2 linked regions of the Caenorhabditis elegans genome follow. The protein of the gene in region 2 purifies or fractionates together with the protein of the main gene of each other region. This does not show direct contact. Each region holds a gene or a part of one and is shown on either strand. Other genes may lie near its edges. The genes, in order: ZK829.7 and R05H5.3.

What was found.
Region 1: the proteins of R05H5.3 (region 2) and ZK829.7 fractionate together in Caenorhabditis elegans (co-fractionation; one large-scale study listed by BioGRID). This does not show direct contact.

The regions. Positions count from the first base shown.
Region 1 is NC_003282.8:11,959,179-11,963,371, forward strand, and holds ZK829.7 (Enoyl reductase (ER) domain-containing protein), read right to left. Parts: upstream 2,358-4,193; 5' UTR 2,355-2,357; coding exon 2,144-2,354; intron 2,078-2,143; coding exon 1,836-2,077; intron 1,782-1,835; coding exon 1,342-1,781; intron 1,292-1,341; coding exon 1,066-1,291; 3' UTR 727-1,065; downstream 1-726. Other genes in the region: tgt-1 (Queuine tRNA-ribosyltransferase catalytic subunit), read right to left, coding at 1-167, 463-615.
Region 2 is NC_003280.10:10,195,662-10,198,892, forward strand, and holds R05H5.3 (protein-disulfide reductase), read left to right. Parts: upstream 1-1,963; 5' UTR 1,964-1,965; coding exon 1,966-2,046; intron 2,047-2,099; coding exon 2,100-2,311; intron 2,312-2,363; coding exon 2,364-2,520; 3' UTR 2,521-2,657; downstream 2,658-3,231. Other genes in the region: srb-6 (Serpentine receptor class beta-6), read left to right, coding at 165-383, 434-535, 604-698, 747-939, 989-1,174; R05H5.4 (Tyrosine-protein kinase), read right to left, coding at 2,671-2,934, 2,980-3,231.

The sequences.
Region 1 (4,193 bases), on a different chromosome or scaffold from region 2:
ATTTGGAATCCTCCAGAATCAGTGAGAATTGAACGATTCCAGTTCATCATTTTATGTAATCCACCAGCAGCCTTAACTCGTTCATGACCGGGACGATGTCCAAGATGGTACGTGTTGCAAAGGAGAATTCGACAATCCATCGAGACTAGTTGTTCCGGTACGATTCCCTGTAAGTTTATTATATATGAAACTGCATAAACTCGAGAAAATATTTTTTTAATTTTTTTCAGGGAAAATCGAAAAATGAGAATCTGAAAAAAAATGTTCATAAATTTAACTTGCTGTAAACTTCATAAAATCTCTACTTTTCAAAAATTTGAAAAAATTTTCACTGAAAGTTAAAAAAAAAACTAACAGGTTTTATTTTTTGTATTATACTTTATTATGATCACAAACAAATTTCACATTTTTGAAAAAGTTTTTTTTTCAATTTAGAATTTTTATTCTTAATTTATTCCATACCTTCATAGTTCCCTGTGTTCCAACAGGCATAAAAACAGGCGTTTCGACGATGGAATGTGGCAAATGAAGATTTCCACGACGAGCGAATCCTGCTCTCGCCAGCACGTCGTACCTCATATCTGCCTGGCACGTCGGGAGCGGTTCCGGTGTCATTGGAGACTTCACTTCGTAAGTTTTTTTTTCGTTAAAATAGGAAATAATTATTTTTATTCCAAGTATAATTGGTTATGACCTTTAATGAAGTACTGTAACGGTAATTTGTTTTTTTATAATATTCATTGAATTCGTTTGTTTACATATTTTTTACAAACTAAGATTACCTAACTAAAAATTATTTTCGTTCTCATGTTAAAATTATTTGGAAGGATGCGGATCTAGAGCAAGAAACGGGAGAAAATGTGGATTTTATGTTACAGGGAATTTTTGAAAAGCAGATGGCAACACTATACTCAAAATACCGATGTCTGGGAAGTAATAGAGTAAATGCACAGGATGAAATAAGACTTTCTGACTATATAATTATGAGTGAAGGGAGTCGGGACAATGTATGAAATGGCAAAATGGGAAATACAATTATTACACCTTTGGAGGCTTATTGAGCAATTATTCGGAAGTGGCGGCAGGAATTGGAACACCGCCGCTCTGATCTGCATCTAATGCTGAAGAGGGATCGCAAACTTCGAGAATGGCACGACCTTCAACCTCCGACATCGACAATTGCTTCAACACTGCAGACGCTTGATCGACTGGATAAACTCTGTAGTCTGGAGCATCGATTTGGCCTCCGGCAATCAAATTTACAAGGTTTTTCAGTTGTTCGATACTTCCTCTGGAAATTTTGTAAATGAAATAAAGAAAGAAAAAAACTTCAAATAGTACCTCGTAACTCCCATAATGGCCAGTCTGTTTTTAGCAACGTGCTTGATTGGAAGTTGAACATCAAGACCGGAAAGACCTCCAACAAATAAGACACCACCTTCAGCGAGACACTTCAATGATCGAGTGACAGTTCTTGGAGATGTCACAAAATCGAAAACAACATTGACACCGGTACGAGCCACATCCTTAGTTCTCATAATCAGATATTCTTCAAATTCGGAATCATCCCAGTGTACTACAAAGTCAGCTCCGTTTCTTTCGGCCAGAGACAAACGTTCTTCTTTGGCATCAGCAACCATCAAACGGATCTTTTTATCATTGTTGATCGCTAGGAAATGCTTGGCGAGTTTAAGAAGCCAAAGTCCAAGTCCTCCTGCTCCCACGATAAGAATATTGCAGAATCCCTTTGATTGTGAAAACGCTTCGACTATCGGTCTGGCCTGGAAAAAATTGTTGATTAATACTGAAGAAAAAAACCGTGGAAAATGTCAAACCTGAAGAACAGCAGACAACGCCCAGGTAGCTCCAGCAGGCAAAATAGATGCTACATGCATTGAAAGAGTTTCTGGAATTTTCACAAGAAAATGGAGAGTTGGAACAGCAACATAGTCGGCATAACCATGACTGCACATCTCATCAGTTGGCCATACGATTACTTTATCTCCAATAGTCAGATCATAGTCACCAGGTGTGCATTCAGCGCCGAATGACTCAACAATTCCGGAAACTTCATATCCTGCAATAACGGATTTCGAAAATGTTATTTTCATTAGTTCAAGCCAAATTAATCTAAATTTCAAACCTGGAAACAAGCTGGTATCTTTGATTCCGTTGGTAATTCTTGCTTGCTTCGTGTTGGAAACTTCTCTATCAGTAAGGCAAACTCCTGCATAACAAACTTTAACGCGTGCTCCCTTTGGTGGGACATCTGGGATTGGCTCCTCGTCGAAAAACTTCACTTCCCGAAGATCCTTTGGAGATCCCAAAGAAATTCTTCGGTTTGTTGCTGGCATTTTCTGCAAGGAAAATTAAATTAAATAGGTTGAATAAACACTTCAATATCAATAAATTTGTTAACAAAGAATAAACCATCAAAGTGAGAGCATGGGTCACGTGTGTGTTTTTTGAAGAGACACAACTTTTTAGAGAAAAATCAATAGAATCAACATTGTAAACACTTGGAGAGAAATAAAATATTAGTGTTTTCAGTTTAAATGATAGAAAAATTGGTTCAATCACTTGAGACATTAAACTTTGTTGAGAAACAACGTGCCGAAAACAAAAAATCCGATTGAAAAACGGAAAGTGCGCCTAGTCACGATAACGGGGTCAAGAATGGCTTTGCGCACTTTGCGTGCCTTTTGGCGGAATTTTAAATACTAGTTTTTAATAAAGAAAACTTTTTTGCATTTTTCCGGCAAAATTACAGTTACGATTATTATGAAAGAATCTACTTGACTTACAATTAGAATTAGAGATTCAAATTAACTATTGATGTTTTGAAAGCTCTATCAACTTAGGCTTTTTGAGAATAAGCTTTTTAAGTAACCGGAACAACAACTAACTGACATAAACTTTGTGAAATGGAAAACGAAAATATTGCAGATGAAAAATAACAGTGGGAGAGTAACGAGACGCAGGACCCTACAGATGCCGAAGCATCTATTCGTCCCTCAATACATGTGCTTTTCACGTGCACACAAACGAATTTCATCATGACTTCTAGGGGAGAATGAGAGTAGAAAAAAATCTCGAATATTTTCCAAAAAATTGAAACATTTTTCAAAAAAAAAGTTCAAAAAAAATAATTTGAAATATCTCCAAAAAAATCCAATATTTTGCAAAAAAATAATTTGAAATTTTTCCATAAAAAAGTTCGATAATAAAATAGTTTGAGTACATCGAAAATGAGGAAACATCAATTTGTGGTTCGACGTTGTGAACATTTGAAATCAATAGATCATACACATTTTAAATAACTTCATAAACGTTTTTTTCCAAATCTATAAATGAATTAATCAACGTTTAGATACATTGGTTTTATCTTTTTGGAATCCCAATATCTTCAATGCAGAATTTCTGTGATCTGATAATGAACAAGTGATAACAACTGGATCAATTGCAGGATAAACGCTTAGTATAGGCACAATATATGTTGACAGTATTATGAAAGTATTTAAAAATTTCAAGAACTTATGAATCTATAACCTACACTCCATAATTATCACCGGCAAGTGGGAGGAACCATACAACAAATAAAGGGATGATTGTACTTATTAATGGAATTATAGTTTGCGCAATTAAAGATTTGAGAAGACTTGAATGTAATCTTTTCGTAGTACATGATAATGTGCATGCTTTCAGTGACAAGTGAATTTTTCGTGCAAAGAAAACATAGATGATCATAATAGAATTGGTGATAACTGCGGCTACAAGCATTCCCAGAATTCCACTTTTTGACCAGTCATTCACGGGGTACTGTAATTGTTTTTGAAGGGAACACTCATATGATATGATGAGCAAATATCATAGTACAGTCAGTCAACATTTTGAAGTTTTTTTTTAACTTTCCGTCATAAAGTGGTAATTACTCAGTTTTCACTTATTATGATTTAAAAAATTGATCAAGATACATTTTGCGTTGTATGACTTATTATTTGAAATTATTAATATATTCAAACATTATGCGAGGGCCAGCTTGCAACAATGTCTGATATTAATAAAAATGGCCAAACTTTTTGAAAATTCGCCAAATTACCAAAACGTTAACTGAAAACTTTAAAAAAAAACTAGAGCAAATTAAAATCGATATTTGGTCTTTTTTATATATTCTGAGTATACTTTCGTAGTAT
Region 2 (3,231 bases):
TTCTGTAGGAGAGAAGTTCGCGTATAACTCAGATTTCACACATTTTTGACGCCGAAAATTTGAACTACAATAGAGTGTATAAATAATTGTTCTTGTGGTTAAATAGTTGCTAGTAACTTAGATAGAAATCGTATAATTACAGATTTACAGAATAATTCTTTCAGGCCCACCACGTCGTCATCCCTTTCTTGGCAGTCTCCAAGTGTGATTTGTTAGTGAATCCCGTGAAAAACCGTATCTTTCAAAATATCGGCGTTTTCGGTATTTCTTGCCCAATGCTCACAATTCTTGGAATAACTGCTGAACGCCTTCTGGCTCTGATCTTTGCTCGTTGCTACGAAAATGTTAAGCTTCATATTGGAGTGTTTATCGGTGTTTTTGCAGTGAGTAGCGTTATTATTTTTTATTATTAAAATTAAAATAAATAGTTCAGATGCTTTGCGACATGGCACTTGTCTATTTCTTCTTCCTCGATGAGAAATTCGATCAACCGTCCATCTCATACTTTATGGTTCCTGATACTTCCGGTTATAAAGTGAGTTTTCCCAGGGAATTTGGAAATTTCACCTAGGCGGCATTAAAACATAAAACCATAAATTTCAGATGAATTGGTTATGCTATTCCTTACTTGCTATTAATAGTGTAAATTTAGTTTTCAATTATTTTTTGGTAAAGATCAACACTATTTTGAAAGAAAAGTAAGATCAGATTTAAATTATTTTAAATGCAAACACTGAAAATTTCAGATGGCGTAATTCTTTATCAACTCGTTATCAAATGGAAGAGAACATTATAACCACGAAATTCTCCACTTTTATCTCATTTATTCATGTATTCTTCTTCTCGCTCTATCTCATTTTCACCCTAATTATTCGTCTTCTAGGACCAGGATTTTTGAAAACACAAGCCGATTTGATGTCGGTCAGAGGTGTTTACATCGTGAGAATATGGTGTTCGACAAATCATGACTAAATTACATTTTTTTCAGACTATTCCCACGTATAATTTGATTATTGGTATTGCTTCATGCGTCATTCTACGGCATTTGCAAAGACAAAAAGTTGCAAAAGTTTATGCGGAAGTTACATTGAAGTATTCTGGAATTGACGGGGCTCAGATTCATCAAGAGGCTATTTTAAATGTTTGGAAGACTAAGTCATCAGGACGGAAGTGACTGATTTATAATTGAAAAAATATATTACACGACAATAATATTTATGTTTAAATCGATGTTGTGCACAAAGGTGTGCGCCTTTAAGAAGTACAGTAACCCATCCCAGTTTTTTCGCAACTTTCGTCAACTTTTATACTTTTTTATCTGAAAAATTGTTTTATTATAGAAACGAAATTGCAGTACATGAAAAAAAGTTTTTTTAACTACGAAAAACGTTTAAAAAACAGTATTATGGGTTACTGTACTTCTATGGCACAATCAATAAATATTGCGTTGATTCTTTTTCTAAACTTTGTTCGAGCGAGAACAATTATTGTGCTTTTTTCATTGAAAAAAATTTACTCTTTATTAAAAAAAAATAATATTTCGAATGTAATCTTGCTTTATTTGAGAGTCAATAGTTCCGTAAGATCAACAAATTCATGAGTTCTCTTTGCAAGCGCGCTCTGTGGAGCGGCGCCAGAAATTGAATTCGCCGCGAAAAAGAAGCGCTAGAACGGAAATTCGAAAATTTTCTTCTCATTTCCTCTCATTTTATCGAGTTTCTTCGCTTTTTTTTTCATTTTTTGCTGCGTTGGCTAACTCCAAGAGCTTTCTCCACAGATACCCCGGTTTTTAAAGTCTTATATTTAGCAAATTGTGAGCTTTTGAAGTTGTTTGATGCGAAAACTCTTCGAATTTTATTGCAGAATTTATAGCTTATAGTTAACCTTCATTTTGTTCGCATTTCTTCCGCCGGTGCCATTTTACCATTTCAATTTATGAATACTTCTAGCTTTTATTTTTCAGAAATGTCCGAATTGCTCGCTGGAACCAAGTTGATCAACCAAGACAGCGAAGAGCTCGATGCTGGCGAGCACCTCAAGGGAAAGGTAAAACATTTCTTTTTTTTTTGAAGAAAAAATGGCAAAATTAATATTTCCAGGTCGTCGGACTCTACTTCTCGGCCAGTTGGTGTCCACCATGCCGTCAATTCACTCCAAAGCTCACTCGATTCTTCGACGAGATTCGCAAGAAGCATCCAGAATTCGAGGTTGTTTTCGTGTCTCGCGATCGTGAAGACGGTGATCTCCGTGAATACTTCCTTGAGCACATGGGCGCCTGGACTGCAATTCCATTTGGAACTCCAAGAATTCAGTTAGTTTCAGCTAAAATCGAATTTTAAATGTATACAAATAATTATTTTCAGAGAGCTTCTTGAACAATACGAAGTGAAGACGATCCCATCAATGCGCATTGTCAAGCCAAACGGAGATGTCGTTGTTCAGGACGCTCGCACCGAGATTCAGGACAAAGGAAATGATCCAGAAGCTCTCTGGGAAGAGTGGCTCGCTTTCTACGATTAAATTTTCTCCACCAACGTAACACCAAAAAATTTCAAGTTTCCTTTCACTCTAATTTATCAATTGTCACAATTTCTCACCATAATTTCAAATATTGCGGCTAATTTCGTACATTTCCCATAAAAACTTTCGCAGCCAAAGATTTATTTACATTTACAGTCTAGATTTATTCGGATCCACAGACTTCGTGGTTGGCTCTGACGACACGGACAATTTCGATTTTTCCACACTTGTAGGTGGTGCCGAAGTAGTGATGGAGTTTTCCGTTTTCTTCTTGAACTCTTCCAGCTTTTCCTTCAACTCTTCAGCGGTTGGTCGTTTTTCAGCATCTACTTGCCAGCACTCGCTCATGATTTCCACCATTCTACTCGGCATTGATGGTGGTGGAGGGAGGCGATATCCGGCTCGGGTTTTGCGCTGAAAAATTCAATACACATCTAGATCCTTTTTGGCAGTATTTACCTTGACTTGAGCAGCTTTCATCTCAACATATGGCGACTTGAATGGGGTCTCGAAAAACTCCCACATCATGATTCCAAACGCGTAGACGTCAGTGTTGAAACGCGTTTCCCCGTTGTCCCAAACCTCGGGAGCCAGCCATCGGATGTTGCATGGCTTTTTAAGATCAACTTTGTAGACGGATTGGGCTCGGCACATTCCAAAGTCAGCCATCTTGACGACTCCCTTGTGAATGAGGCAGTTTCGCGACGCGAT